3 linked regions of the Saccharomyces cerevisiae S288C genome follow. The main gene of each other region encodes a partner of the protein of the gene in region 2 in a complex. Each region holds a gene or a part of one and is shown on either strand. Other genes may lie near its edges. A codon is read from its position in the direction of its gene.

Region 1 (5,792 bases), on a different chromosome or scaffold from region 2:
CCATTCCGTGATGCTGCTTGTTCAGCTCCTTCGAATGGTGATAGGAAATGTTACCAATTACCTCCTGCCGGTCGTGGCCTGGCACGTAGGGCGTTGGAAAGGGATATGAGTGAAGGTGCCGACGGTATTATTGTTAAGCCTTCCACTTTCTACTTAGATATAATGAGGGATGCAAGTGAAATTTGTAAAGACTTACCAATCTGCGCATATCACGTGTCGGGCGAATACGCAATGTTACATGCTGCAGCTGAAAAAGGTGTTGTTGATTTGAAGACAATTGCCTTTGAATCTCATCAAGGTTTCTTGAGGGCGGGTGCCAGATTAATCATCACTTATTTGGCTCCTGAGTTCCTAGACTGGTTAGATGAAGAAAACTAAAAAAAAACGTGCTTACCTTGTGAATAGTAAAAATAATGATGTCAATATGACAAATGTAACAGTGCTGGCAGTATATCCCTATTTGGCAAGCTTTATAATATGCAAAGATGCGACCTAGTATACGATACAATGGAAATTATGTAATCCTCCTAATGAGTATTTATGTAGTAGTACGTAATATTTATACACGGAAGGCGCTAGTAAGACAGATAGGTAATGTTTTTTTACTTTCACCTCTCATTTTTTCTTCTCAAGGCCTAAAACGGTCATTAGCGGGGCCAGTTGTTCAGGTCCTAACTGTATGCCAGATTTTTCCAATTCCAATTTAAATTCCTTCATAGCGTGTCTCAGATCTCTGTCCATTAAGATCTTAATCATTTGCCATGGTTTCATCGTATTTTCTTCATTGGCAGAAGTCCCATCTAGATTAACCAATTTTTTTTCGATCATGATATTGCTAACCTTTTCTAACTTTTCCAGAACATTAGGCCTCGAATTTATTTGATCCATGAGTTTCTGCACCTTTATGTGTGCATCTATTTTGTCATTAGGCTGTCTGTCGTCCCAAGATTGAGCGTAAAATCTTCTCGGAGAAATCCAGGAAAGCCTCCTTAAACTCCTGGTGTGATTAGTGGTAGAAATGTTCGATAGTTCTATCGAACGAGTGACTCTGGAACTATGCTTCCATATAACTCTTAGCATTATGTGTGGCTGTAGTATCTACTTTCTGCTTCTTGTGTTTATTCTAACTTTTTATTCGTCGGTTTTGTTACATCTTAAATTGTATTTCTTTAGTTCTGACCGAGCCATATTTAATGCATAGAAGATTAATAAAGAAAACATGAAAATCATAAATAATTAAAAGTAACTGGACGAACAAAAGATTTTACGTGAGACAGACAAAAAAAATTAACACCAGCAGTATATGTATATATGTACATCGTATATGAATATGCCATTTCAACAAATTGGATATGGTTGTATGTTTGGCTTTTTCTTTTCCTGGATTCCGGCTGTCAAATACTACTACGAATAGAGTCAGAACAGGCTTTTCTGTCCCTTCCTCCTATTGTTTCCTTTGCTCTGTCCGTGGCTACTCTCATCTTTTTCTATTCTAAGAGAATTTCCATCTGTTACCACATGCTTCACATGTACAGAAAGTGGTCAATGGTTCATCCGCAGATCTTGTTTGCAATTGATAGTAAGATACCTTCTTCTCTTTACATTTACCACATGTAAATCTATCGGTGACTGACCTTTCTATGGTGGCACCCTGTGCGTTGTATAAGTTTTGCTTGGCAATTTCTTCTATCTTTTGCTTTAAGGGCGCTGGTGCCAGATCCTTGGCATCGCATGTAGCTAAGAATTCAGGTGTTATATCACCGTTGGCAATTTTATGTTTGAGATCTGGGTTATTCTTTGATATGACGTTTGAATAAATTATACGATACCTGGCTTTGTAAGCGGCTTCGTTGGTGTCACAGTTGTTAACTTTATTCATTTCACTTTCTATGGCCTTTGCAGTATGCAAAATAGATTGAGGTGGATGCTCACTTTCCTTGGCCAAAACGTCGTAGAGTGCTTTTAGTACCTGATCACGTAATTTGTGGTGGTATATAGCTGTATCCACACCATCGTTCTTACTATTTCTTGGTTTAGTGCTGACGTACTTGTCTTGTTTCATGGCATCTGACTGGGAGGAGGCCGGCTGTTGAACACCATTCACGGACTCACCTACAGTTGTCTTGTCCTCTGCATTGCCTGGCGCATGATCTTGATGATGCTGCTGTGCTTGCCTGGAACGCTTATTTTTATTAATTGCGTCTTTCCAAGAGCTAATCATTTTCTTCACGAGTTTGCTGATCTCTACATTAGTGGATTTTTTAAACTTGTTGACTTCCACACCAACTTTTGTTTCTCTCAGTAACTTTTCAGTGGGGACGAATTCTTTATCCAAGACATGTAAGATTTCTAGAACTGCAGCATCATTACTTTTGTTCTTTTCTAGATTCTTAACATGTACCAGTACTTCCTTACTATCCATGATGAATGCTCTTATGCGGACTGACTACACTGTGAATGTTCTGCTGCTTGAGTAATTTTTCATTCAATATTTTTCAATACGTAGTCCCATCATCGAGTGATCACTTGGTCATATCAGCACAGTGGGGCGGGTAAGAGTTGAAAATTTCCCTATAATGAAATTGGATATTATATATCAAAAAGGCGTTGTCATTCGAAGCATCGTTTCAAAAGAAGGTCCGTAAAGTTAAGGTGGGCTAGTGAAGTATCTCATAATTGTTACAATCACCATAAGAGAAATCTTGCGTTTAGAATTTCCTAAGAGAACCGAGTCACTTCTAGCACTTGCTTTAAACAGAAACACTTGTAATAATTGTTAGAGGGATATACAAGAAAGGCTATATACCAATAGCATCACATAGACACGTTAATTATCAATACATTGAAAGAAAAGACGAAAACGATAAAATGAATAGGCAGAGCGGTGTGAATGCGGGGGTACAGAACAACCCACCATCCCGAGTGGTGTATCTGGGTTCTATACCATACGATCAAACAGAGGAGCAGATACTTGATTTATGTAGTAATGTTGGGCCCGTGATCAATTTGAAAATGATGTTCGACCCCCAAACTGGTAGGTCGAAAGGGTACGCGTTTATTGAATTTAGAGATTTAGAGTCCAGTGCCAGCGCAGTACGTAATTTGAATGGATACCAATTAGGCTCTAGGTTTTTGAAATGCGGTTACTCCAGCAATAGTGATATATCGGGAGTTTCACAACAGCAACAACAACAGTACAACAACATTAATGGGAACAATAACAACAATGGAAATAATAATAATAATAGTAATGGGCCGGACTTTCAAAACAGCGGAAATGCCAATTTTCTAAGTCAAAAGTTTCCAGAATTGCCCTCTGGTATCGACGTTAACATAAACATGACCACCCCTGCTATGATGATATCGAGCGAACTAGCTAAAAAACCGAAAGAGGTGCAGTTGAAATTTTTACAAAAATTCCAAGAATGGACAAGAGCGCATCCTGAAGATGCTGTTTCGCTATTAGAGCTGTGTCCACAGTTGAGTTTTGTTACGGCTGAATTATTGCTAACGAATGGGATATGTAAAGTGGATGATTTGATCCCGTTAGCTTCCAGGCCGCAAGAAGAGGCATCGGCTACGAATAACAATAGCGTGAACGAGGTGGTGGATCCAGCTGTGCTTAACAAACAGAAAGAACTACTGAAACAGGTGTTACAACTGAATGACAGTCAAATTTCTATCTTGCCCGATGATGAAAGGATGGCTATTTGGGACTTAAAACAAAAAGCATTAAGGGGAGAATTTGGTGCATTTTGAAACTAGGGAGGCAAAAATACAAAAAAAAAATGCGGTTCCGCAATGATGAGGCAACAATCTATCATATTTTCCACGTGAGGGAGCTCAAAGTTCGGTATATAGCTTACATCTCAATATCACAATCACTTTTTTTTTTGACGTCTTTATAAATATAGAATAACGTTTACGTTACTGCTATTTTTTCGTTTCTTATCTCAGTTTGCCTGAGGACGGCTATAGTTTTAATCATTAAACGTATATTAAGTACACATGAACATATATAAATCTCAGGTTTGTGCATGCTTCGATTTTTTTTTTCTATGTTAATGTCATGGATCATTACGTGGCTGGGATAGTGGAAATATGCAAACATGATTAAGGCGCCTAGTTCCAACACGGCGCAAGCTGCGAGTATATGACTTGTTACCTGCACTTTTTAATAGTCATCACAAGGGGGAGGATCGCTTTCTAACTGTTGTAGTCTTTTTTGTTCAAGTTCTTGTTTGTCTTCCGACGGTACACTGACTTTATCATTTGGCGAATACTTTGGAACTGGAACATCGTCACTATCATATGCATTTAATGGGGCCAACCAATCTCTTAAATTCGATGGAGAATTTTGAGGAGCCGTGATTGAGGATTGGGATGGGATGCTTGCATCAGATTGCTGCTGTTCGGATCTCGTCGTTCCTATGACGGTTTCTATGGACATACCAGTTACATTCCTCAGTCTCTTTAGCTTTTCCACATTTACCATATCTTTGAAAAATATACTGGATTCATAACCCTCAGAATCGTTCTCCAACGTTTCTGGATTGACCATACGTAGCATTTTCCTTTGGATACGGTTGATATTATTCTCTACGCCCAAGCCATTTTGTTCTCCAATAGGAGTTCCTATTATTCTATTAGATTCTGTGTAAACCACGTTTTTTTTTGATAAGTTAACCATAACCTCGATATAGTATTGGAAGGAGAAAAATTTTCCCACAGTAGTAAGGGTCGAAAATGCATCAAGGGGCACTTTCAGATAAACTCTAGATTGAAACTGCAACGTTTCAGGGTTAATATATATAGGAGAGATACTCTGACATATATCTTTTCTGAAAGTCTCCATAGGATCATCTTTGCCTGCACCGCCCACCCTACATATCCTCACCAAAGTGGTGGTGAGACCCGCAGGGGCATAGAAAGGCTTATAGTGGTCAATCTTAACGTCTATAGGGATAATTTCACCAATCATGAATCCAGCCTGCGGTATGTCTACGGATATAGTCACCGTTTTATTTGGTAAGGGGGACGTCTTGGAGTTTACTGAACTGCTAGAAGAATTAGAAGTAGTAGACTTTTGAGTTAATTGTGTATACGATGAGGATTCGTCCTCTGTAGATTTGTTCTTTTTGTTTTGGACCATAGATGCTGATTGTAAAACCACTGTCTTAGTTTTCGGCTTGGGCAGCCTCGAGACGTCCAGCGGAACTATGACTGCAAACTCACGTTCGCATCTTGCTTCCGGTTTTTTTAATCCGTTGATGTTGTTGAGGGATTCTAAAGTGCAAGAGAGGAAGTATGTTATCGAGCCCCTTTCGAACTTTATAGAGCTCAACATTCCTCTGCCTCGTGGTATTCGTATCCTAAAGGGAAACCTGTGTTCCCCCTTGCTTAAACCATTGAGAATGGTGGTTTTGTCAACATGCGGTTTCTTTTCCTTAGCCGAAAAAGCTGTCTTTACGTAGTCCTGTCCATAAAGAAACGTCGACTTCTCTAAGGTTTTCTCAATTCTCTTATTCTTGGAGGTTGGACTGTTCCCCGTTTTCACGCGAACCTCACATACTAGCGATAATTTGATCGCTACGTTAGTTATGTCTCTCTTTATGTCAATGACCGCTTCTCCGGTTATGCTTTCATTCGGTTTCCATACTCTATGCGGTTCGTCTATGTCTATACGAAATTGCTTCACGTTGTTATGGGCCAGCATGCTGTTGCCGTAACTGCCAACAATACCATGACTCTTTATTTTTGATGGTGCCCTTGATTCTTTGTTCCACAGTCTC
Region 2 (7,076 bases):
AAAAGTTCCTACTTTGATGACCGTTTTGTCTTCAGGTGATCAAGCAAACAACTCCGAAATCTACGGTTCAAACACGCACACTTTCATCCTAGAGAAGGATGAAATCGTGGAGATTGTGCTAAATAACCAGGACACAGGTACCCATCCTTTCCATTTACATGGTCACGCTTTCCAAACCATCCAGAGAGATCGTACATATGATGATGCCCTAGGTGAAGTTCCTCACAGTTTCGATCCGGACAACCACCCTGCCTTCCCAGAATACCCAATGAGAAGAGATACTTTATACGTTAGACCACAATCCAATTTCGTCATCAGGTTTAAAGCCGATAACCCAGGTGTTTGGTTCTTCCATTGTCATATCGAATGGCATTTGTTGCAAGGTTTGGGTCTTGTTCTCGTGGAGGATCCTTTTGGTATCCAAGATGCTCATTCTCAACAACTCAGTGAAAACCACTTAGAAGTTTGCCAGAGTTGCTCTGTGGCCACTGAAGGTAACGCCGCTGCCAATACACTGGATTTAACTGATTTAACTGGTGAAAATGTTCAGCATGCCTTCATTCCTACCGGTTTTACCAAAAAAGGTATTATTGCCATGACATTCTCCTGCTTTGCCGGTATTCTTGGTATTATCACAATTGCAATTTATGGTATGATGGATATGGAAGATGCGACCGAAAAGGTTATTCGAGACTTGCACGTGGACCCTGAAGTCTTGCTAAATGAGGTTGATGAAAATGAAGAGCGTCAGGTAAACGAAGATCGTCATTCCACTGAAAAGCATCAATTTTTAACTAAAGCCAAACGGTTCTTCTAATAAAGGAAGATCATGTATTTTGCGGTTAACCTGTTTTTTTTTTTTCGGTCAAGGGTTCCAAATGCATTTGCATGTAAAGTGAATGCCCTTGTCTTACTTAATATTACATAGACATATACTTAATAATCTACCACGTTTCAAATTCAATAATGCATGCTTCTTGGCGGTTTTTGACATGAGATCCTCATCTGTCACGAGGCTGATGTGCATACTTTTACTTTTAATCGATGACATGATCAGTTTCTTTTGAACAAAAAGCCGTTATGGGTTGAAAAAAAGTGAAAATGAAAAAGTCATCAGAAATATATGAAAGATATAATAAATTGTCGAAGAGAAATTACGTCGAGGAGGTTGAGGAAAATAAGAATGGCAACGACAGATATCATATCTCTAGTAAAAAATAATTTACTCTATTTCCAAATGTGGACGGAAGTGGAAATTTTACAAGACGATTTATCATGGAAGGGAAATAGCCTGAGATTACTGAGAGGTCGTCCGCCTCACAAGCTGAGCAACGATGTAGACACAGAGCATGAAAATAGCTTGTCATCGCCACGCCCGCTAGAGTTCATATTACCCATCAATATGTCACAGTACAAAGAGAATTTTCTCACTTTGGAATGCTTGAGCCAGACATTTACTCACTTATGTAGTCCATCTACTGAAAGAATACTGCTGGCCATAATTAACGATGATGGTACAATTGTTTATTACTTCGTTTATAAAGGAGTACGAAAACCGAAAAGAAATTGAAAAATGAACTTAAAGACACCTTTCTGCATTATTTTGTTTATTTTTATTATATGTATTTACAGGCTAAATTATATAATGACATCACAACGTTTCCTTGCTCTCTAAATTGAGGATCTCTTTGCTCCAAGTTATTACTTGGTCTATGGACGAAGTCATCAATTTTGTTCGACATACTATTCAATAATTCACTTCCAAAGGTTTGTTCCAGTTTTGAACGGATGCGGTTACCATCAGGTAGGCCTAACTGAACGTAAAGATTTGCAAGGAAAAGAAGGTCGGAGGAAAGTATTACAGAATCATCCAGTTTTTTACGGGCAGCCAACCAATTGCTGACGCAACTCTGTAGTCTATTATCAAATTGAAGATTATATTTCACCTGTTGTAGCTCTTGCTTACCCTTAATTTTGTTCTTATGCGCAATTTTGAAGGTCTTTGATTGTGCTAGTTGCGAGGCTGACTCCATTGCTTTACTTTCTACAAATTCTTCATCATCCTCAAGGGTCAGTGAGCCTATAATCTCCTCACAATTTTCACGTGCTTGCGATCTTAGTTGCAATGGCGTATTATACCACATAGGAAAATATAGCAATTTTGAAAACAACTTCTTGGTATATTCATTGTAATTTTTGGTGTTCAAAAAGAGCTGGTAGTCCGTTAGTCTGGAAATTTCAACGTCAACATAATTCAATAGGGAATACTCTAAAAGGCGATCCTTTTTTCTAACAATTGCTAAATCTTCTTCATAATCCGTACCTTTCTCATATTTGCTAGTACATATATTTTTATGTAAGAATTGTACGATGTTCACGTAACCAGATACTTTCGTTCCATTATCTAAAATTAACACTGGTAGTTTTCCATCTGATGATAGGTCTGTATTGTTTGAGAATACGATCTGCAATCCCGCAACCATACTCTTTGCCTCTTCTGAAGTACATAACTTGATAAACCATACAAGCGCAATGCTGTCCACTGAAATCAACGATGCTTTGCCATCCTTTCCCCATAAATGCACACTACCTTTAACCATTACTGACTCGATAATAGCCTTGCTTTGCGTTTATTTGAAAAATACAAATTCCAGCATTAAATAGTAGCCATTCTAAATAGCTTATTTCTTATTACATTTCCCACTTCGTTTAAAATGATAACAATCGTGACAAAATTGTCGGTTACCTTGTAATAATTAAGAAGAAAAGTGTAGCTTGTGTGATGAAAGAGTATTCTACAACGAAATAAAAGGCCAAACTGGAGAGTCAAACAAGAGATATGTCCAGCTCTACGACTCCTGATTTACTATATCCCTCTGCGGACAAAGTCGCAGAGCCTAGTGACAATATACATGGAGATGAACTACGACTTAGAGAAAGGATTAAAGACAATCCCACGAATATTTTATCATACTTCCAGCTTATTCAATATTTGGAAACTCAAGAGTCATACGCTAAGGTGAGAGAAGTATACGAGCAATTTCATAACACATTCCCGTTTTATTCACCTGCGTGGACTTTGCAACTAAAGGGTGAATTGGCAAGAGATGAATTTGAGACTGTTGAGAAGATTTTGGCTCAATGTCTTTCTGGCAAGTTGGAAAATAATGACCTATCTCTTTGGTCAACATATTTGGACTACATACGCAGAAAAAACAACTTAATTACTGGTGGACAAGAGGCGAGAGCTGTTATTGTCAAGGCATTCCAACTAGTTATGCAAAAGTGTGCAATTTTTGAACCCAAATCATCTTCTTTTTGGAACGAATATCTCAATTTTTTAGAGCAGTGGAAGCCATTCAACAAATGGGAGGAGCAACAGCGAATTGACATGCTCAGAGAATTCTACAAGAAAATGCTATGTGTTCCTTTTGATAATCTAGAAAAAATGTGGAATAGATACACTCAATGGGAACAAGAAATAAATTCCCTAACAGCCAGAAAATTTATTGGCGAGTTATCAGCCGAATACATGAAAGCCCGTTCCTTATACCAGGAATGGTTGAACGTTACTAATGGATTGAAAAGGGCATCTCCAATTAATCTGCGCACAGCAAACAAGAAAAACATACCACAACCAGGTACCTCAGACTCAAACATTCAGCAGTTACAGATTTGGTTGAATTGGATAAAATGGGAAAGGGAGAATAAGTTGATGCTTAGTGAAGATATGCTATCACAAAGAATCAGTTACGTTTATAAACAAGGTATTCAATACATGATATTTTCTGCTGAAATGTGGTACGATTATTCAATGTATATATCTGAAAATTCGGATCGACAAAATATCTTATATACTGCGTTATTAGCTAATCCCGACTCACCTTCTCTTACATTCAAGTTATCCGAATGCTACGAACTGGATAATGATTCTGAAAGTGTTTCTAACTGTTTTGACAAGTGCACTCAAACTTTACTATCGCAGTATAAAAAGATCGCCTCCGATGTAAATTCGGGTGAAGATAATAACACAGAGTATGAACAAGAGCTGCTATACAAACAGAGGGAAAAATTAACATTCGTGTTTTGCGTGTATATGAATACGATGAAAAGAATATCAGGACTATCCGCAGCACGTACTGTATTTGGTAAATGTCGTAAACTGAAGCGTATATTAACACATGACGTCTACGTGGAAAATGCATATTTAGAATTTCAAAATCAAAACGATTATAAGACTGCTTTTAAGGTTTTAGAATTGGGTTTAAAATACTTCCAAAACGATGGAGTTTATATCAACAAATACTTAGATTTTTTAATATTTTTAAATAAGGATTCGCAGATCAAAACCTTATTTGAAACATCAGTGGAAAAAGTGCAAGATTTAACCCAGCTGAAGGAAATATACAAGAAAATGATAAGTTATGAATCGAAATTCGGTAACTTAAACAACGTTTATTCTCTAGAGAAAAGATTTTTCGAACGGTTCCCCCAAGAAAATTTGATTGAAGTTTTCACAAGTCGTTATCAAATTCAAAACTCCAACTTAATAAAGAAATTAGAGTTAACTTATATGTATAATGAGGAAGAAGACAGTTACTTTTCTTCTGGAAACGGGGATGGCCATCATGGCTCTTACAATATGAGTTCGTCAGATAGAAAGAGACTAATGGAGGAAACTGGAAACAATGGAAACTTCTCCAATAAGAAATTCAAAAGAGACTCAGAGCTTCCAACAGAGGTTCTTGATTTATTGAGCGTTATACCAAAACGTCAATATTTTAATACAAATTTACTCGATGCGCAGAAATTGGTGAATTTTTTAAATGATCAAGTAGAGATTCCAACAGTTGAGAGCACCAAGTCAGGTTAACATTACGTTAATAAATAGGTATATATGAATATTTATACCAACACATCTATTATAATAGGCGAACCTCTGTATGTAATTAAGTAAAAAAAAAACGATGTGACAGGATAGTTAAGGTGCCTCGTACATAAATAAAAACGGAAATAGTTAATTCTTTCAAAAATATGGCAATAGCCAAACTCATTCAGAAGGTACAGGAAACACTCTGTTTCTGTGCGTTTATATAACCATGCTTATAAAAGAAAGATTGAACAAAATATACATGAATTTATGAACGGTAATCACCGTTAATTGTTACATATTCATGTGATAAATCACAAGTCCAAAATTGTGCTGCCTGATCACCGGTTCCCAAGTCGACAGACACTTCCAAATCATTCAAAGCCAATATTTCAGAAGCCCTTGTTTCATCGATCTCCAATTGTGGCACACCATTAGCGACAAGCTTCAGCTCACGAGGTTCTGAATTGTCGGTAGCAATAAAGCTAACATTAATTTTGTTGACATCTAGAGATTTTAAGTCATTCAGCTTTGCATACCCGATCGCGCACAATATTCTTCCCCAATTGGCATCTTGCCCATATAGTGCGGTTTTGACCAACATAGAGTTTGAGATTGATTCAGCAATTATTTTGGCGTCTTCAAAATGCAAAGCATTTTTAACGTTAACAGTAACAAACTTTGTCGAACCTTCACCATCGCGAACGACTAACTGGGCCAAGCGCTGAGCAAATTCTGTGACCTGCAATTTTACTTGTTCAAAATCTTTAGAGTCTTCGTTAATTTCTTTGGTGTCAATAGCACCGTTGGCCAACATGCAAATTGTGTCATTGGTGCTCATATCACCGTCCACCGATATACAATTAAATGAACGGGTAGTAGCGAAAGTCAGCATCTTCTGCAACGCCTTGCTTTCAATAGGAAGATCTGTAACTATGAAACCTAATAAGGTAGCCATATTCGGACAAATCATACCCGCGCCCTTTGCCATACCTGTCAAAGTATACTCAGTACCACTAGGTAATTTGAATCTAGATGTAACTAATTTTGGGAAAGTATCAGTAGTACAGATTGATTTGGCTACGTTCAACCAAGAGTTAAAATCACTGCCGAACTTTTCTTCTCCAAAAATTTTATTGATACCAGTGCTGATCTTGTCCATCTGTAGTCGTTGTCCAATAACGCCTGTAGACATGACTAGGGTAGAATTTTTTTGACCAATTTTATCGTTAACCAAATCAATCATTACTTGGGCATCTTTCATACCAAGATCACCTGTGACCGAGTTAGCACAACCGGAATTGACTACAATAGCGTTGATGTTTTTACCACGAGCAGTTTCAAGGACTTTTTTCGATGTCAAAACTGGCGCAGCTTTGAATTTATTGGTCGTGAAAACAGCTGCTGCGGTTGAAGGACGAGATTTATTGGTATTCAAGATTACACCCAGGTCCAGGCTCCCGTTTTTTTTGACTCCAGATGCAGTGTAGCCTACTTCAAATCCTTTAGGAAAAGAGCCCGTCTTGGGCACGTATAATGCATACTTATCTATAAGCTGCTTCGAGCGTTGAAGCAATGTTGATGATATTCTCATGCTATGTTGAATTTTGGACTTCTTTAAATAAAGGGAATAGAAGTATTGCTGATACTAGCCCAAAAATCGTCACCTTTGTGCGGCGAGCCGAGGATGAGGCTTTTATATACTCGACGACTAAAGAAGTTGGCAACGAATTACGCAGTGAGTCATCCTACCTGTCCATCGCAGTAGAAAAAGACCTTCGCCAAGAAAACACCGTCAATAATGATTGCTAAGCACTCTCACTTAGTACTACTATCAACGCTACCTTCAATTTGGGTCTAACCACGGCCCTATTGCATCACTACTCTCTTTATTCTATGATACAGCGTGGGGGTGAAGCCAAGAGCCCTGTGTTTTACTTCAGCATACCAACAAAGTATAAGATTACTTTTGCTATACAGCGATGAAAAATGTATTTTAATGTTTGTAAATTTATGATCTACTGACACGTCTCAGACAGATCACATTTACAACACAGCATGCTATGACTATATACAAAACATGACTTTTCTTTATCACTAAAAGTAACTGCCAATTTATTGTCGAATCTCGCTATAGTTTGATTTTCACCAGCGGCGCGCGCAAGTATAAGCTAAGAAACAATGAATATAGATAGATAGTGATGAG
Region 3 (6,571 bases), on a different chromosome or scaffold from region 2:
GATGGAGTGATTTTAGTTTGCAGAAGCTGACTTCAATCCCGTGCTTCAGAGACGCGGGCATGCTCGGGTTTTCCAGCATGTTCTTGATGGGATCTATTATATTTATATACCATAAGAGCCCGACTAAGGCCACGAATTGGGCGATGAGCTCTCTGATACTGGGCTCGATTGTCGGATGGGAGCAATGTAGGCTAAAGAGACAAAAAAGTTTCCAGATCGCACAATTGGCAAAGGAAACCGTGGCGAAAAAGGAAAAACCAATGCTCCATAATGTCCCTCATGACCCATCTCTGCCGGGGCAATGGGAGGCCGCCAAAAATGAAAAGCAGAGTCAGTTTGAACAAAGTAACCAGAATTTATCTCAGGCCTCCTCTGAGAAGAAATGGTACAAGTTCTGGTGAAAAGAACGAGGGGGAAACAGAAGGTAGAAGCAGGGCCTTTTAACCGTTTTCCTATGTATATATGCAACATTTCTCCGAAAATACTATAACTTCAATTGTTCACTTTCTCCATTTCTATATAAAAAGCATACATAGAGTTACAAATTTTATATATTACTTGACTGGTCTTGCATGCCGTCCGTATCGCTGCTGTGATTGTCATTATCTTCTTTAATGGACAATTGTTTAAACGTTTGTGTGGTTTCCTCGGCAGAGTTTCTCGTAGGCGGTAAAGAAAATGAATTTTCTGTTCCCATCAAATTGTCTGTATCCTCATCTTCGCCATTTTTGCCGCCGCCATTGTTTCGTACCCCGTCCTTGTTTGAACTTGACTGTGAATGATTCGGTGTGGATACCGTTGAGGACCCCTTGGATTTGGGTAAAGATGTTTTTGATGTGGAAGGTTGGCTGGTTCCTTCTAGTAGTTCATTGAGCACCACGTCATTCCCACCCGTTTCCTCATCGCTGTTGTATGCTTCTCCAGCAGTCTCTCCATCACCACCGATGGTCCCGTATGGCCCATCTGCTTTTTTGCTGAAGGGGTCGTCTGCATCACAAAGTAGTTCGTCTAGCCCGCCTCCAGACCAACCTTTCCTTGCAATATTTTCAGAAATTTCCACTTGTGCCCTAGATACCGTGGCAACTTTGCTGAGTACTTTGTTGCATGTATTTTCCACAAGTTCGTATGAATCCATGTAAAAATCGTGCTTTAGTGTCTCCAGTTGATCTAACCTTGCTTGCAAGCTAGAAAGGCTCTCTCGGTATGAGATTAAATTCCTTATTTTTCTTTTCGAGATATCGAAGTTATGTCTTTCCTGCAATTTCAATTTTAAACTTTGCTCTTTGCTTTGTGCTTTGAACTTGTTCTCCATTATCTTGGTCTGTAATTCGAATTCATCAATATCATCAATTAAATTATCTCCCAACAAGTCATTGAAATACTTTGACATTATAAGCTGATGATTAGATAAAAGGTAGAATAACCCACTGGCACTCAATAGTTTCTCCGCCGTTTCATCATTGCAACCCTTCAACTTGGCAATGTTTTCTAAGGAATGGGCAATTTCTGCCCCATTCTGAGATGTCTTTAATAACGAATCCGAATAAGCATTCGAGTTCCTGAGTAATGTCGATAGGGCTTCCTGGGTCTCTTTCACATCTCTCTTTGTGATTAGCGTTTGCAAGTCGTTTATTGTGCTCGTACCAGAAGTTATGCTCGATGCCCGACGGGCCTTTGAATACACTTTGGATGAACGTAAATGGTTCATGTCGTCCAGATGGTCGTTATTTTCTGAGCCAGCACTGCTAGCCACTGGTCTTTTACTATTTACAATTGGGTAAAATTCAGATAGATGAGGCGCGTATCTGTCGGGAGAGACGTCAAAATGGTTACCGTTGTCCCAGTCAACCCTCAGTCTCTGGTCACTTGAAGGAGATCCCTGCAATTGCTCCGTATTATTGTCAGGCATATCCGATTTCTCTTCCTGTTACTTTCTTTAACAATATTTTATTCCTTGGTGAAATTTAATTGACCCTTTATTCAGAATATATACTTCTATTGTATGGATATGGTTTTTTTCCACTTAATGTTTAGCATAAATTTCCATCTCACCCTTTTCTTGTAACATATCGCCCAATATTTTTTTCTTTTGCCCGCATTGACCATTTTTTCCTGTAAAACGAGTAATGTGAGCAGTAGAATAAGTGTATATCATCCGTTAAATAAGGCGCAATCTACCGAAGTTTGAGATCTAACTCAAGTTTTTATAAATTAGATACGTTTTTCCTTACTATTCTACATGAGATGGCCATTAGCATGAGATGACTTCAATACGCACTTCTGTTGGAACGCAGATAGGATGTTTACACTCGTCTGCTCTATTCTTTGTACTTTCAATAGAGCAAAGCAAGTGGTACCAATGAAGAGAAGGCCCAGCTGTTTTATTCCAGCGGCGAAGAAGTCTAGCCTATTCCTAATGTATTAGTACAGCTATACAGAACTTTCTCAGTCTAATTTTTGATGTACTTTTATACATAGATTTACACACTTTTCAAAACGTACTTACGTAGTCGGTTCAAGGGATACACCAATTTAGCCAATGAAGCTGGGCCCCAAGTGATCAGAGTTTCGTAATTGAGCTAGGATTTGCTGCTTTTTATTCCCTTTATCACCAAATGGTATTACCTAGTGCATCTAAGTTTTAGTTTACCCGGGCGAATTTTTTTTAAGGACTCGACGCATTGGATGAGAACTTGGCCTAAGGCATGGGAAGAAAGCGAAATTTCAAAAATTAATGAGACAATGTTGTTCTACTGTTAAGGGTTTAGTAGTTTAAAAGTCTCTCTTTCAATTTTGCATTGCAAAGAATTACCAGGACAATTTTCGGAGCAGTTAAGAAAACTGTACTTGAAAACACTAGGTCTATTTGTAATACTCTCTTTTCATTATGGATCACGACACAGAAGTTATAGTCAAGGATTTCAACAGTATTCTTGAAGAATTAACTTTTAACTCGAGACCCATTATTACCACTCTCACGAAGTTAGCAGAAGAAAACATTTCGTGTGCTCAATATTTTGTTGACGCCATTGAGAGTAGAATTGAAAAATGTATGCCTAAGCAGAAGCTATACGCTTTTTATGCCTTGGACTCCATTTGTAAGAATGTTGGCAGCCCATACACAATCTACTTCAGTAGAAATTTGTTTAACTTGTACAAAAGAACATACTTATTGGTGGACAACACCACAAGAACAAAACTCATCAATATGTTTAAGCTTTGGTTGAATCCTAATGACACCGGCCTGCCTCTGTTTGAAGGCTCAGCACTGGAGAAAATTGAACAGTTTTTAATAAAGGCCAGTGCTCTCCACCAGAAAAACCTGCAAGCAATGTTACCAACTCCGACTGTTCCCCTCCTATTAAGAGACATTGATAAATTAACTTGTTTAACTAGTGAAAGGCTAAAGAATCAACCAAATGATGAAAAATTAAAAATGAAACTGTTGGTTTTATCTCAGTTGAAACAAGAACTGAAAAGAGAAAAACTAACTCTCAATGCTCTGAAACAAGTTCAAATGCAACTAAGGCAGGTCTTCTCACAGGACCAACAAGTTTTGCAGGAAAGAATGAGGTATCACGAACTTCAGCAGCAACAGCAACAACAGCAGCAACAGCAACAACAACAACAGCAGCAGCAGCAGCAGTATCACGAAACTAAGGATATGGTCGGTTCTTACACACAAAACTCTAATTCAGCGATTCCATTGTTTGGAAATAATTCAGATACAACGAACCAACAGAATTCTTTATCTTCCTCTCTTTTTGGTAATATTTCTGGCGTTGAATCTTTTCAAGAAATTGAGAAAAAAAAGTCCCTAAACAAAATCAATAACCTCTATGCATCTCTTAAGGCTGAAGGGCTCATATATACTCCACCAAAAGAATCCATCGTAACGCTTTATAAAAAGCTAAATGGACACTCAAACTACTCTCTTGATTCACACGAAAAACAATTGATGAAGAACCTGCCAAAGATACCCTTATTAAATGATATTCTTTCTGACTGCAAAGCTTATTTTGCCACGGTTAACATCGACGTTTTGAATAACCCATCCCTGCAGCTGTCCGAACAAACTCTTCTTCAAGAAAATCCCATCGTCCAAAATAATCTTATTCACTTATTATACCGATCCAAGCCAAATAAATGTAGCGTGTGTGGTAAGAGATTTGGCAACTCAGAAAGTGAAAAACTACTACAAAATGAGCATTTGGACTGGCATTTCAGAATAAATACAAGAATTAAGGGATCACAAAACACAGCAAATACAGGCATAAGCAACTCTAACTTAAATACAACTACCACAAGGAAAAATATTCAATCAAGAAACTGGTATTTGAGTGACTCTCAATGGGCAGCCTTCAAAGATGATGAAATTACCTCCACAAAGCATAAAAATGATTATACTGATCCGCATGCCAATAAAAATATCGATAAAAGTGCCCTAAATATTCACGCTGATGAAAATGACGAAGGCTCTGTAGACAACACTTTAGGAAGTGATAGAAGTAACGAGTTGGAAATACGGGGAAAATATGTTGTTGTACCAGAAACTTCACAAGATATGGCCTTCAAATGTCCAATTTGTAAGGAAACCGTTACTGGCGTTTATGATGAAGAATCTGGTGAATGGGTTTGGAAAAATACTATTGAAGTGAATGGCAAATATTTCCACTCGACATGTTATCATGAAACGTCGCAAAATTCAAGCAAATCTAATAGTGGCAAGGTCGGTTTGGATGACTTAAAGAAATTGGTCACAAAATAAGAGCAGAACTGCATATATACATTTAAATTTAATAACTATATATTATATTAAATTCTTTGTTCTTGGTATTTGATGGGTTGCTCATTTGTTTATTTTTTTTTTTTTTTTTTTTGCTTATGTGTCCATTATATTATATGTAATTTTACATATGTAGCCAAAAGCCCAACTAATCATTAAAATCGATTAAAGACCGTAAAGTAAATTGTTCATTATAGAAGAAAACGACAAAGAAAAACAGGGTACACTTCGTTACTGGTCTTTTGTAGAATGATAAAAAGTCAATACGGTTTTATCTCCTTATTCACTTGAAAATCTTTTTCCATCAATTTGTTAATTTTAGCATCTTTTTCAGATATTTGACTTCTCGCATTTTCAAGACATTTCTTTGTAAAAGTTAAATCACCTTGAAGTGAAGTTATTCTAATTTCATTCCTCATAACTTCATCTGACAAAGACCGAATAATTTCATTTGCAACAGCCAATTGTTTTTCCTTTTCATCCAGCGCCGATGCTGCTTTCGACAAAACGATATCCACAAAGGAAAGACCATCTTCTTTCATGTCCTTCGAACATTCGGTGACACTATCCTTATTATCAATTTCAAGTTCTGTTTTTTGGGTTGATGTGTACATATTTGATTGTTGAGTACCAGTTTGTGAATGTGTTCCTAAAACGTCAACACTAGTTAAAATTTCTGTTGTATTACTGTCTGTTATATCGTCGAGTTGTTTCACTCGACGATCTTCAACGATTGGAACCCTTTTTCCAACAGAAAAATAGCCGTAGGACGCAGGTCTTGAGAAAGAGAGTGAGATGTTTTCTGATGCGTGCTTCCCATTTCCAGGGATTATTTTTGCTTTGTTAGAATTAAAAATACTGTCGAATTGCTTCTTTTCTGGTAGGGTTTTCGTTTCCATTGTGCTCAGCTGCACCAAAGACTTCACATCTGGCGGAGAAGAAGGCTTCACATTTTTAACCATTAACGGTTTTTTTGTAATTTGCAGTATATCCTTAGGCATAATTTTGGCATCTGCCATATGCTCGGGCTCGACCACATGTGGTTTGACCGACGTGGATATAGAAACAGGTTCACAGGACTTCTGAATATCAAATCCCATGTTGGAAACAAATCTCTGAGTCTTCATAAATGACCAAAATCTGGCTTTTTTTGCATCAGGCTTGTTCTGTAATTCGTTGTAGTAAATCTTAATTTCAGAACTCATTGGGTAATCTTCTATTTCACCTTTCAGTATAATGATGTCACTCTCTCTAAAATTATTGGAAATTGCTGATTTAAGGTTGTTAGCAAATATATCTTTAAGTAACTGCATTTTTTCGTTAATTATTTGTCTATCACTGTCGGAAAGCTCCGAAGGGAACTCATCAACCAACGAAACGGAAATAAGTTTCAAATTTGCAAGCCATTCTTGCCTCCAAGAGCTTTTTGAAAGGTTCTCCTTCGTGTTTTTGGGTTTGCTAGAATTAGTATCACTATGCGACACTCTTCTATTGCTTTTAGTAGGCGTGGTACTTAGCTTTGTTTCTTCGAATCCTAATGGAGAAGACACGGTTGGAATTTGGGATGGTTTAGCGGAAGAAGAATTTTGTTCTTGGCTATGTTTCCCTATATTGATATTTTTATTGGTCACATCATTTTTTTCAGTGTTATTTGTGTTTTCAAATGTAGAAACTGCATATAATGGCAAATATTGTAATCTGTCCTTCTTGTGCACTTGTTGGTAAAAGAAAGCACTTGATGTTTCATAGTTTTCAACAGAGCAAATGTCGTTAGTCACACTAGTT

The links.
Region 1: the proteins of RNA14 (region 2) and RNA15 are in contact, whole or in part, in an NMR structure (PDB 2L9B), measured with the Saccharomyces cerevisiae proteins. Residues at the interface, in NP_013777.1 of Saccharomyces cerevisiae: Glu630 (codon at 4,727), Leu631 (codon at 4,730), Pro632 (codon at 4,733), Glu634 (codon at 4,739), Val635 (codon at 4,742), Leu636 (codon at 4,745), Leu638 (codon at 4,751), Leu639 (codon at 4,754), Ser640 (codon at 4,757), Val641 (codon at 4,760), Ile642 (codon at 4,763), Pro643 (codon at 4,766), Lys644 (codon at 4,769), Arg645 (codon at 4,772), Tyr647 (codon at 4,778), Phe648 (codon at 4,781), Thr650 (codon at 4,787), Leu652 (codon at 4,793), Leu653 (codon at 4,796), Asp654 (codon at 4,799), Ala655 (codon at 4,802), Gln656 (codon at 4,805), Lys657 (codon at 4,808), Leu658 (codon at 4,811), Val659 (codon at 4,814), Phe661 (codon at 4,820), Leu662 (codon at 4,823), Asn663 (codon at 4,826), Val666 (codon at 4,835), Glu667 (codon at 4,838); in NP_011471.1 of Saccharomyces cerevisiae: Phe145 (codon at 3,301), Glu147 (codon at 3,307), Leu148 (codon at 3,310), Pro149 (codon at 3,313), Ser150 (codon at 3,316), Gly151 (codon at 3,319), Ile152 (codon at 3,322), Asp153 (codon at 3,325), Val154 (codon at 3,328), Ile156 (codon at 3,334), Pro161 (codon at 3,349), Met164 (codon at 3,358), Ile165 (codon at 3,361), Glu168 (codon at 3,370), Leu169 (codon at 3,373), Lys172 (codon at 3,382), Leu178 (codon at 3,400), Lys179 (codon at 3,403), Phe180 (codon at 3,406), Leu181 (codon at 3,409), Gln182 (codon at 3,412), Lys183 (codon at 3,415), Phe184 (codon at 3,418), Gln185 (codon at 3,421), Trp187 (codon at 3,427), Thr188 (codon at 3,430), Arg189 (codon at 3,433), Pro192 (codon at 3,442), Ala195 (codon at 3,451), Leu198 (codon at 3,460).
Region 3: RNA14 (region 2) and PCF11 share a complex: the UniProt entries of both Saccharomyces cerevisiae proteins name them as parts of the CFIA complex.

What each region holds. Positions count from the first base shown.
Region 1 is NC_001139.9:414,113-419,904, reverse strand, and holds RNA15 (Rna15p), read left to right. Parts: upstream 1-2,868; coding exon 2,869-3,759; downstream 3,760-5,792. Other genes in the region: porphobilinogen synthase HEM2, read left to right, coding at 1-378; DPC13 (Dpc13p), read right to left, coding at 616-1,080; YGL041C-B (uncharacterized protein), read left to right, coding at 1,019-1,201; transcription elongation factor DST1, read right to left, coding at 1,493-2,422; RIM8 (Rim8p), read right to left, coding at 4,175-5,792. UniProt on the Saccharomyces cerevisiae protein: RNA-binding component of the cleavage factor IA (CFIA) complex, which is involved in the endonucleolytic cleavage during polyadenylation-dependent pre-mRNA 3'-end formation and cooperates with the cleavage factor NAB4/CFIB and the cleavage and polyadenylation factor (CPF) complex.
Region 2 is NC_001145.3:389,916-396,991, forward strand, and holds RNA14 (cleavage polyadenylation factor subunit RNA14), read left to right. Parts: upstream 1-2,839; coding exon 2,840-4,873; downstream 4,874-7,076. Other genes in the region: ferroxidase FET3, read left to right, coding at 1-817; SEN15 (Sen15p), read left to right, coding at 1,184-1,570; SAM complex subunit SAM37, read right to left, coding at 1,617-2,600; ARG7 (glutamate N-acetyltransferase), read right to left, coding at 5,139-6,464. UniProt on the Saccharomyces cerevisiae protein: Component of the cleavage factor IA (CFIA) complex, which is involved in the endonucleolytic cleavage during polyadenylation-dependent pre-mRNA 3'-end formation and cooperates with the cleavage factor NAB4/CFIB and the cleavage and polyadenylation factor (CPF) complex.
Region 3 is NC_001136.10:920,123-926,693, reverse strand, and holds PCF11 (Pcf11p), read left to right. Parts: upstream 1-2,887; coding exon 2,888-4,768; downstream 4,769-6,571. Other genes in the region: COX20 (Cox20p), read left to right, coding at 1-401; IVY1 (Ivy1p), read right to left, coding at 548-1,909; chromatin-silencing protein SIR4, read right to left, coding at 5,047-6,571. UniProt on the Saccharomyces cerevisiae protein: Component of the cleavage factor IA (CFIA) complex, which is involved in the endonucleolytic cleavage during polyadenylation-dependent pre-mRNA 3'-end formation and cooperates with cleavage factor NAB4/CFIB and the cleavage and polyadenylation factor (CPF) complex.